Danio rerio: one gene and its partner. The protein of the gene in region 1 binds, or shares a complex with, the protein of each later gene. Links are inferred from orthologs where the notes say so. Each region holds a gene or a part of one and is shown on either strand. Other genes may lie near its edges.

Region 1 (4,368 bases):
CCACTCTGGAGATGTTTTCTCTGTGTAGGCGTTGGGCCACTAATGGGATAATTCCACCCGTTCTGGAAGAGCATTATTAAGTGAACAACACACGCATAGCATGAATTAGAGTAAGTTTATACCGTTTCAGATTTTAGTTTAAAATATGAGGCAGATTGTATGTTTTTTTGGATTTTTCAGTCACCCTTTGCTTTAAAAAAAATCCTTTTTGAGAGTTTGCAGTCTAAGTATCTTGAAATTATAAGGGGTATTTTTTATCATGAACTACTCAAGGGAATGTATGTTGCTCTTTTGTGTGGATCATGATGATTAAAGTGCAGTTGCTGCCTCTAATATTAAATCACTGCAGATTCAGCCTGCGATAAAGCAAAGAAACAGTTTGCTCTGCAACATTTTTGCATTCATGAGCTTGTAGTAAGCTTACGAGCAAATTAAAGTGAAAAAAAGACTTAGAATCGATGATATATGATATACATGATATATTGTTATTGTGAATTCTTTATATATATATATATATATATATATATATATATATATATATATACATACATACATATATATATATATATATATATATATATATACATATATATATATATATATATGTATATATACATATATATATGTATGTATGTATGTATGTATGTGTATGTATATATATATATATATATATATATATATATATATATATATATATATATATATATATATATATAGTTCACAGTTCATAGTTCATATACATATACATAGTTCACAGTTCATAGTTCATATTCATATTCACAGAATTTCTACAAAGTATGTTGTATACTGCAAACTCGCAGACTTTTTGGGTCACATCTATAACGCATGAAAAAACTAAACAAAATATAATTGGTTTAAGTACTAAAACAGAAATAAAAATAAGACAGCTAAAACTAAAATAACTATGACAATGAACAATAAATTAATTATTGTTAATTAATCAATTGTTAATTGTAATTAATAATTTAATTAATAAATAATAATACAAACTATTAATAAATGCTGTTATAATATAGTAATATTAATCAAATACTGTTTGCGGTATATATTATGTATTTTTGGTGAACTCAAGAACATTGAAAATCCTTTAAATTATTGAACATGTTATTTTTGCATGTTTTTGTAGCAACTGAGGAGTTTTCTGAAGGCTGTGACTACTATACTTACTTCAGGTGTGTCTCTTTCTGAGAATGCAGAGATTCACCCAAAATCCTCCCGGTCTCGTCCAGCACCGCCGCCCCGGTCTCATCGCAGCTCGTCTCGATCCCCAAAACTAACCTGGGTCTCGTTGAAGTGCTGAAGACTCTTCTGCTCCAGGACCGCAGAGCTCCAGGCAGACAACTCTGAAACATGCTGCTGTTAACACCGATAGTAGAGCACTTACTGACTGCTTCAACAACAACCTGACAGGTTAGATACGCTTTAACAATTGGGGAAAACTGGTGTTTCTTGGACCATTTTATTCGTTTTAGGAGCCTGTATGAAGAGAGAGGTTACATATAAACACGTCCTACTTACAGCAGGTCAACTTGGGTTCCGTTAGATTATGTTAGATATTTTTTTTCAATATTGAATAAATAACTTTAAGTCTATGGTATGTTTGAAGAATGAATAAATATGCTAATCATAATATCGTTGTTTAAAGTATAAGTAAAGTTCAACACGGGAACCATTATCGCTTACGCTTGTTTCGAGTAGGAAAATAATACAAGAGGAACGAAAGCTCACATGGAAGAGATGTTGTATTCTGAAGTACTTTGGCTGCTGTAACATTGTTTTTATAATTATTATCACTTGTTTTTTTGGCATAGTTGACGTCCACTGCTTTTTCCAATAAGGTAACTTAATGCTCTATTGTACCGCGTCCATGTGTTGTGTTTAGAAAGTTGACAGTCTGATATGGACAAACACTATGGACAAACACAGAAATACATAATATATAGATTTTCTTTGTTAAAAATAGAATTATAATGGGTAACACTTTACTTTGATGGTCCATTTGAGTATTAGTAGACTGCTTAATATCTGTTGATACTGCTCCTTCAACAGACATTTAACTGACTATAAGAAACTTTGCGAGTACATGTCAACTTACACTAACCCTAACCTAACAGTCTACTTATAATCTAATGAAAATTAACTTAGTTGGGATGTAGATGCAGTGTAACTTAAAATCAACAAACGGGCCATCAAAATTAAGCGTGACCTTATAATATGACTATAACATATAGTTGAAGCAAGAAAATGACATATACAGGATTTCTATATTATTTATATAAACGTTAGATGCAAATAAAGTGTCCACTTTTGTGAAGTAAGCTTTTTCATAAGTATAATGTTAAAATATGGGTTAAATGATGTCTCGTTGTCATAAACGTAACAAATGGTTTATCTAAAGATGAAATAACATACTTATTCTGACCTGTACTTATTAAAATATCTAAAATAGTAAGTGATAAAAATACATTGTATTAGATTTAAATGATTTGTTTTGCTTTCAAATGGTATTGGTTCACTGAATGTCTTGGAGTGCATGTATTTAATCTGTATTTTTTTAGGGAAAAAAACAAGATGAAACGGGACATTTTAATGCACAGGTGTCAAACTCAGTTCCTGGAGGGCCGCAGCTCTGCACACAGTTTAGTTTCAACCCTAATTGAACACACCTGATCCAACTAATTGAGTCCTTCAGGCTTGTTTGAAACCTACAGGTTTCTCAGGTCAGAGTTTACCAAGCTTGCAAACCTGCGAAACTTAAGGCATGACCCTGCGTTTCTGGTATGACGCATTCACGTGCGTATGAATGGAAGTGTATGGGAGGAAAAGCCCAGTGTGACCGCAGCTTAAAGCTGCAGTCACACTAGAGTTTGTGCGTGCGAAATTCTGTCGTACAGCTTCTGATGTAAGGGGCAGGATTAAACAAGATGATTAGACATTAAAAAAGAGAGAGAGATAGAGAGAGAAAAGATCTGCGAAACTTGACACACAAGCTTGCGTTTCCAGTCTGAAGCGTTCGCCTGCATATGAATGGAAGTCTATGGGGAGAAAAGTCCAACGTGACCACAGCTTCAGTGTGTTGAAGCAGGGTTGGAACTAAACTGTGCAGGGCAGCGGCACTCCAGGAACTAAGTTTGACACCCTTTCCTTCAATTATTTTAAAATCAAGTATTGCAGCCTTCATTCAAAAGTCTCTCATTTGTAATATGTGAGCATTTTTACTGTACAAAATTTGTCTGTGAACTAAATAAAATAATCATTTATTCATCAAATCGAGTTTAAATATGCAATAAATCGAGATTTAGATTTTAAACCAAATCTCCCAGACCTAGTATATAATAATACAGTTTATACTGCAAAATAATTGTTCTGTCCTCATTATCAGTTAAGATACATTTCTGTATTGAACCTGAGTCAATTTGGAGTCTTAAACTCAGGTTTCAGCAGGGTGTTTTCACACCTCTACTTTGGAAAAAGTCAGAAAAGTGGGTGTGTCCAGCTTTGTTTAGGGGGGAGTGTCGGAGGAAGAAAAGAGGCATAATGTGGGAGCTGACTTTCAGAGTCAAAACACACACACACATAGGGGACGAAGTGACTGTGTTTACATGGACATCTGTAGTCGAATTATTTGCCAAATTATTAAATAGTGGACTTTAACTGCAGTTTGGCTCTTTCATTCAGGGAATTCATTCATGTCCCTCGCGACAAACGAGATATTTGATTCGAGGAACTGCTGTAAGCGTATATTTTTCATGCAATGTTTGATACCGCACAGCAAATAAGAGAATAAACACCCTCCGCATTTAACGGAAACTTAGATGCACTCGGCAGGTAGCGTCAGAAAGCCGTTTGTGTTATTCCGGTCACAAATGCGGTGAAAATCCTACATGAGGTAAAAGTTTGGTTGTGGTGCTAACATGTTTACACTCGGTGCAATAGTTAACTTAGATACGAACAAACTGAATAAACAGAGAGCACTGGTCACTCACTTACCAAATCTGTAGAGACAGGACAATCACCAGCAACTAGAGCCGCGTCTTTATTAAGAGGAGACTACAAGAGATCCGGATCTCAGCGTTTGCAGATGAGAACAGCTCTCAGGTAAACAATAATCCTCCTTAGACATGTAAGTTATTGTTGTCGAGCGTCGCGTACACTGTTAATCCACACGTGACTCCAGCTGCGCTCTCACAGAGAGAAAATGAAAACAAAACTTAACTGCAGCAAACTATAAAAGCAACACTTCATGCTTGTTTTGCCAACACAATGTAGCGTCTCTGTCGTCTAAACACTCTGACAGTAATGAATATTAATGAAGTTGCACAATAGAGCGCGCTGATTGGTTTGAAC
Region 2 (4,624 bases), on another chromosome or scaffold:
TATGATGAGTGTTTTCAAGTGCTAAGTTGCCTGCTGAAAGTGCATCCGCTGCGTAAAACATATGCTGGATAAGTTGGCGGTTCATTCCGCTGGGGCAACCCCTGATTAATAAAGGGACTAAGCTGAAAGAAATGACTGAATGAAAAAAAAAACAATAGGCGACACAGTGGTGCAGTGGGTAGCAAGATTGCATAAACTAAATTGGCCATAGTGTATCTAGTGAATGAGGATGTATGGATGTTTTCCAGTCTTGGGTTGCAGTCGGAAGGGCATCCACTGTGTAAAACATATGCTGGATAAGTTGGCGGTTCATTCTGCTGGGGCAACCTCTAATTAATAAAGAGACTAAGCCGAAAAGAAAATGAATGAATGAAAAAACAATATATGACAAACTACATAAAAATGAGAAATAATCTCACTTATAATCTTTAGATCCTCCCAGATTTCAAGTTTATTTGCTGGCCTGTAGAGAAAGACATGATCACTTGCGTCATTTATATTCTTTTACGTTTATAATGTAGTTAAGCTTCTACAACACACACACACACACACACACACACACACACACACACACACACACACACACACAAACACAAACACACACACACAAACACACACACAAACACACACACACACACACACACACACACACACACACACACACACACACACACACACACGTGCATAACTCACTTAGTCTTCAGCAAAGCAGTGAGACTCTCTGAGTTCAGGTGATGGATGATTGCCTCTCGGAGAGTGGGGAGCATTGATAACACTACAAAAAACAAATTACATACTCCATAAATAATTATAACAACATAAACATCAGTTATGGCGGTATTTAGTTTACCTGTCATGTTGCATGTCCTTTGGTTGCTTTCAAAATGAAACTGTCTCCGAGCTTGAGCAATGTATTCAGCTGCCTCTCGCTCCTGCATCTCCTGAATTTTTCTCTGTGCATATTTACCAAGCAGATAAACACCTGCAAATAAAAAGTTTGAGATTACAATATAGTATAGCATCCATGTTAACAAAGTGATATGCTGCAAGCAAGAACTATTCAGTTAAATAAAGCCTTTCTGTTGACTAAAAATACCAGGGCAAAGTCCATTTCAACTTTGATTTGACTATGCCAATAGAAAAACTAGGTGACAGGTGAACTGAGATTGAAGGGCTGAATGTGGAAAAAATATATAATGGTTGTCAACACTGTAATAACACGCTAAACTACACATCACATCATATTAACATGCTATAGCTACAAGTATTTTATTAAAAACAAGAAATAGTTACAGCTAGTGAACAGTCACTGATATGTATGCATGGATGAGGTTCAGTTGCCCACGTTAGTTACCTCCAACAAACACCCCAGTGAAGATGAATTTCCTCTTATGGCGTTTGATGAAATTCCATGTAGAACTCAACATTTTAACAGACTTGACACCGAAAATTAAAAGAAATAAGAGAAGCAAGAGCGGGTTTAGACGTAACTCACTAGCTAGCACAATGCTACATGGCAATAAGTTCTCATGTTAGCTGCAGACAGGCTAACTGCAGATAACAGATAGAGTCTATTCGGTCGATCGATTACTCGGTCTGTTCACCACCCTGAGGTGTCCATCGGTTATTACAGTCCTCCGTAAACACGTGCAGGGAAAACGCTGTTGTTTTTTATATTTGTGCTGACTTTACTTTATTTGTACGCTTACAAGTTTGTTATTGACACGTATATAGGGATGCAAGAAGTCGGTGTTGATCCCGAGAAGAATGATTTTCTGCAGCCCTCAGATAGTGAGGTACAAACATGGATGGCAAAGGCGTTTGATATGGTAAAGCTTCTTTGGTGTTTAACGTTTCTTTTATTGAGGTAAAGTTGGTTTTATATTAGGACATTCTGAATTTTTCCCTTAATAATATAATTTATTATAATATAAATTATAGTGGGTAGTGCTGTTGCCTCACAAGCATGAAGGTCGCTGGTTCAGTTGGCGTTTCTGTGTGGAGTTTGCACGTTCTCCCCGTGTTCGCGGAAAAAATACGTACTTTTAGAACCACTTTGCTTTTGGAACTGGAATTCCAGAAGGGAACAGACTTGACTGCTACACCGGGTTGCGCACCCCTGCCCTAAAATTCACTCCATCTGAAATGTTCATCTATTAACTAAAATTGATTAAAACAATAATAGTACTAGAGTTATGACAACAATGAGAGTGACTGAGTTGAGTTTCATTAATGGAACCCTTCCCATAGAGAAGATACATGGATAAATAGATCAATAAACTCACTTTAAATACAATGCCGATGAGATTAAGTAAATTGTGTAATGGGTGGTTTAGTTTAAACCAGCAACAACAATTTTATGTGTTCCATGTTACCTAAATGTCTGTTTAAAGCCCACCAAAAAGCCTAATTTTAGGCCACACTACAGTCATTACTATTATTTTACATTTATTTGTTAACCTAGCGCATTTAAAATTTGCTTAACTTCTTGTCCTTGTTTTATCCATCATAATAATAATTTTATGTTTTAATCAATTTAGATAAAAAAAAAAAAAAGAATTTTGACTGAGAATGTTAATGAAAGTCTATGAGGGAATGCATTTTGCGTCAGCGGTGTATTTCTCGGCACAACACTGGTTTCCCCCACAAGTCAGAAGACATGCTGTAGGTGAATTTGGTAAGCCAAATTGTCTGGAGTGTTTGTCTGTGAATGAGTGTATGGGTGTTTCCTAGCAATAGGTTGCATCACCTGCGTAAAAATATGCTGGATGAGTTGGTGGTTCCTTCCACTGTGGCGACCCCTAATTAATAAAGGGATTAAGCTGTAAAGAAAATGAATAAATGAATATCATCAGCCAATGACTATCAGAGCACAACAGTGCTCACTCACAGTCGATCAAATAGTGCTAATGTTGTTCTTAAGTCCTTTTTACATGTGGTTTCACACAGAATAAGAAAAATACCATGGTAAGCAATATAGGGATCGTGTCACAAGTTGGCACTAAACAAATGTACCAATGTAAAACCAACTTTACATTACCCTTAATGTTTCTTTTTCAGTATTCATCATGCCTACTGTCATATCCTCTTTTAGTTATTGCAGTACAAAGTTATAGTTACTGTGAAATCACAATAATTTAACTTGTTGCATTTGTTTTGGTCAAGTTAAAATATGCTTTAAGAAAGATATTAATACTAATTACAGTGTTTTTAAAATAGTTTTTTTTCCAAAGAATAATTATTGTCACTTGTCTTTGAAAGAGAAAAACTATTGTGTGTATTGTTATATGCAAATTATTATTTATTTTCTATGAAGACCATTTCAATGTGTTCATGTCATTGGCCCGTGAACATTTCCTGCTTGTTATCAAACTATTTCATAACTGTAACAAGAGGCAATTCAATCAAACCTTAATGTAAAACAGCTATCACAACATTATTTATCAATATGTGGCTCTTTTTGGATTCTCAGAAGCTATAGACCAATTACCATGTTTGTAAACATTCAGGATGCGCACGCAGGGAGGTGGCAGAAAAAAACGGGATTGCCAGCATTTACAGCGAGGGAATGACATCAGATGCGGTGCAGAGTTTGTTGTTGTCTTAGAAATAAAATGTATTACTTACACATTATATATATTATTTACATAATGCTTTCAGTATATTATAACAGCTCGTCACCCAGTGACAAGCACAGTGATTTGGCAAAATTAACGTTAAAGTGAGAGGCGTTTATCTGACAGGTCCATTTGCGATAGCACCCTCCCAATGAATATTGGATAAGACGAAGTGACCAAGCATCCAGCCCGAAATATACAATCTCATTGAAGCTCCAAGTGATTTTACAAGAGAGAAGTTAAAGGTCTACAAGTCTTTGGATGCCAACAATGTTGTTCTTTGTGGTCATGTGCAAGAAATAATGCTCCATGATGACCAGATTCAACACTGTATAGAGCTAAAAACTGAGATTCTGCTCAGCCAAAGACAAGCAAACAAGACGGAGCTAACATTATACAAGGCCTGGGTAATTAATCACCAACACGCAAAACGACTGCATTCTGACAGTGAACTTCACCTGTACGGCAGGGTATGTGAACACATAAAGGTAAAGTTGGTTTTATATTTGCACATTCAGACTTTCTCTTTAATAATATAATTTCATAAAAATATTATTTGTAAACTGTAAATAGCGAAATCATATTAGCAGCAGTCAATGACTATCAATATACAACATTGTTCACAGTCAAATAAACAGTGCTAATGTTGTTTTCAAGTCACACTTGCAGGTTATTTCAGACCGAATATTCAGAGTGCCGTGGTAAACAATATAGGGAGTTTGTCACAAGTTGTCACTGAATGAATGCGTGAATATAAAACTAAGTTTACCTTAATAAACATAACTTTCACGTTTCATGCTTAGCATTCAGTGTACGCAGTTTAATTAACCATATTTAACTGTTTTTGCTGAAGTCATTTCTGCAATCAAAAACGAGTAATGTGTATGATTCAGCATAGCGTGAACTGACCTGATATGATATGAGAACTGCAAAGTCCAGCATTTCTAATTAGCTCCTCACTTCATTCAGCTCCCATTTAGCCAAAGACGTCTGCATTCGGCATCAAA

The links.
Region 2: the proteins of adat3 (region 1) and adat2 are in contact, whole or in part, in a crystal structure (PDB 9HMM), measured with the Mus musculus proteins. The link is inferred for Danio rerio from reciprocal best matches to the Homo sapiens genes ADAT3 and ADAT2. Residues at the interface, in NP_001094076.1 of Mus musculus: Val217, Ala218, Pro220, Leu221, His223, Ile229, Asp230, Ala233, Gln236, Gly237, Glu270, Ser272, Pro274, Val276, Val290, Met291, Met294, Ala295, His298, Ala299, Pro311, Asp312, Leu318, Phe319, Val321, Arg324, Asp326, Leu327, Asn328, Pro349; in NP_080024.3 of Mus musculus: Val62, Asn63, Lys66, Asn67, Ala68, Thr69, His71, Met74, Ile77, Leu81, His85, Pro91, Cys107, Ile108, Met109, Ala112, Ala113, Leu116, Met117, Arg130, Phe131, Val137, Leu138, Ile140, Asp144, Leu145, Pro146, Asn147, Thr148.

The regions. Positions count from the first base shown.
Region 1 is NC_133184.1:42,766,529-42,770,896, reverse strand, and holds the start of adat3 (probable inactive tRNA-specific adenosine deaminase-like protein 3), read left to right. Parts: upstream 1-1,373; 5' UTR 1,374-1,431; exon of another isoform or gene 1,432-1,483; intron 1,484-1,695; exon of another isoform or gene 1,696-1,859; intron 1,860-4,368.
Region 2 is NC_133195.1:41,037,933-41,042,556, reverse strand, and holds the start of adat2 (tRNA-specific adenosine deaminase 2), read left to right. Parts: upstream 1-1,653; 5' UTR 1,654-1,736; coding exon 1,737-1,829; intron 1,830-4,624. UniProt on the Homo sapiens protein: Probably participates in deamination of adenosine-34 to inosine in many tRNAs.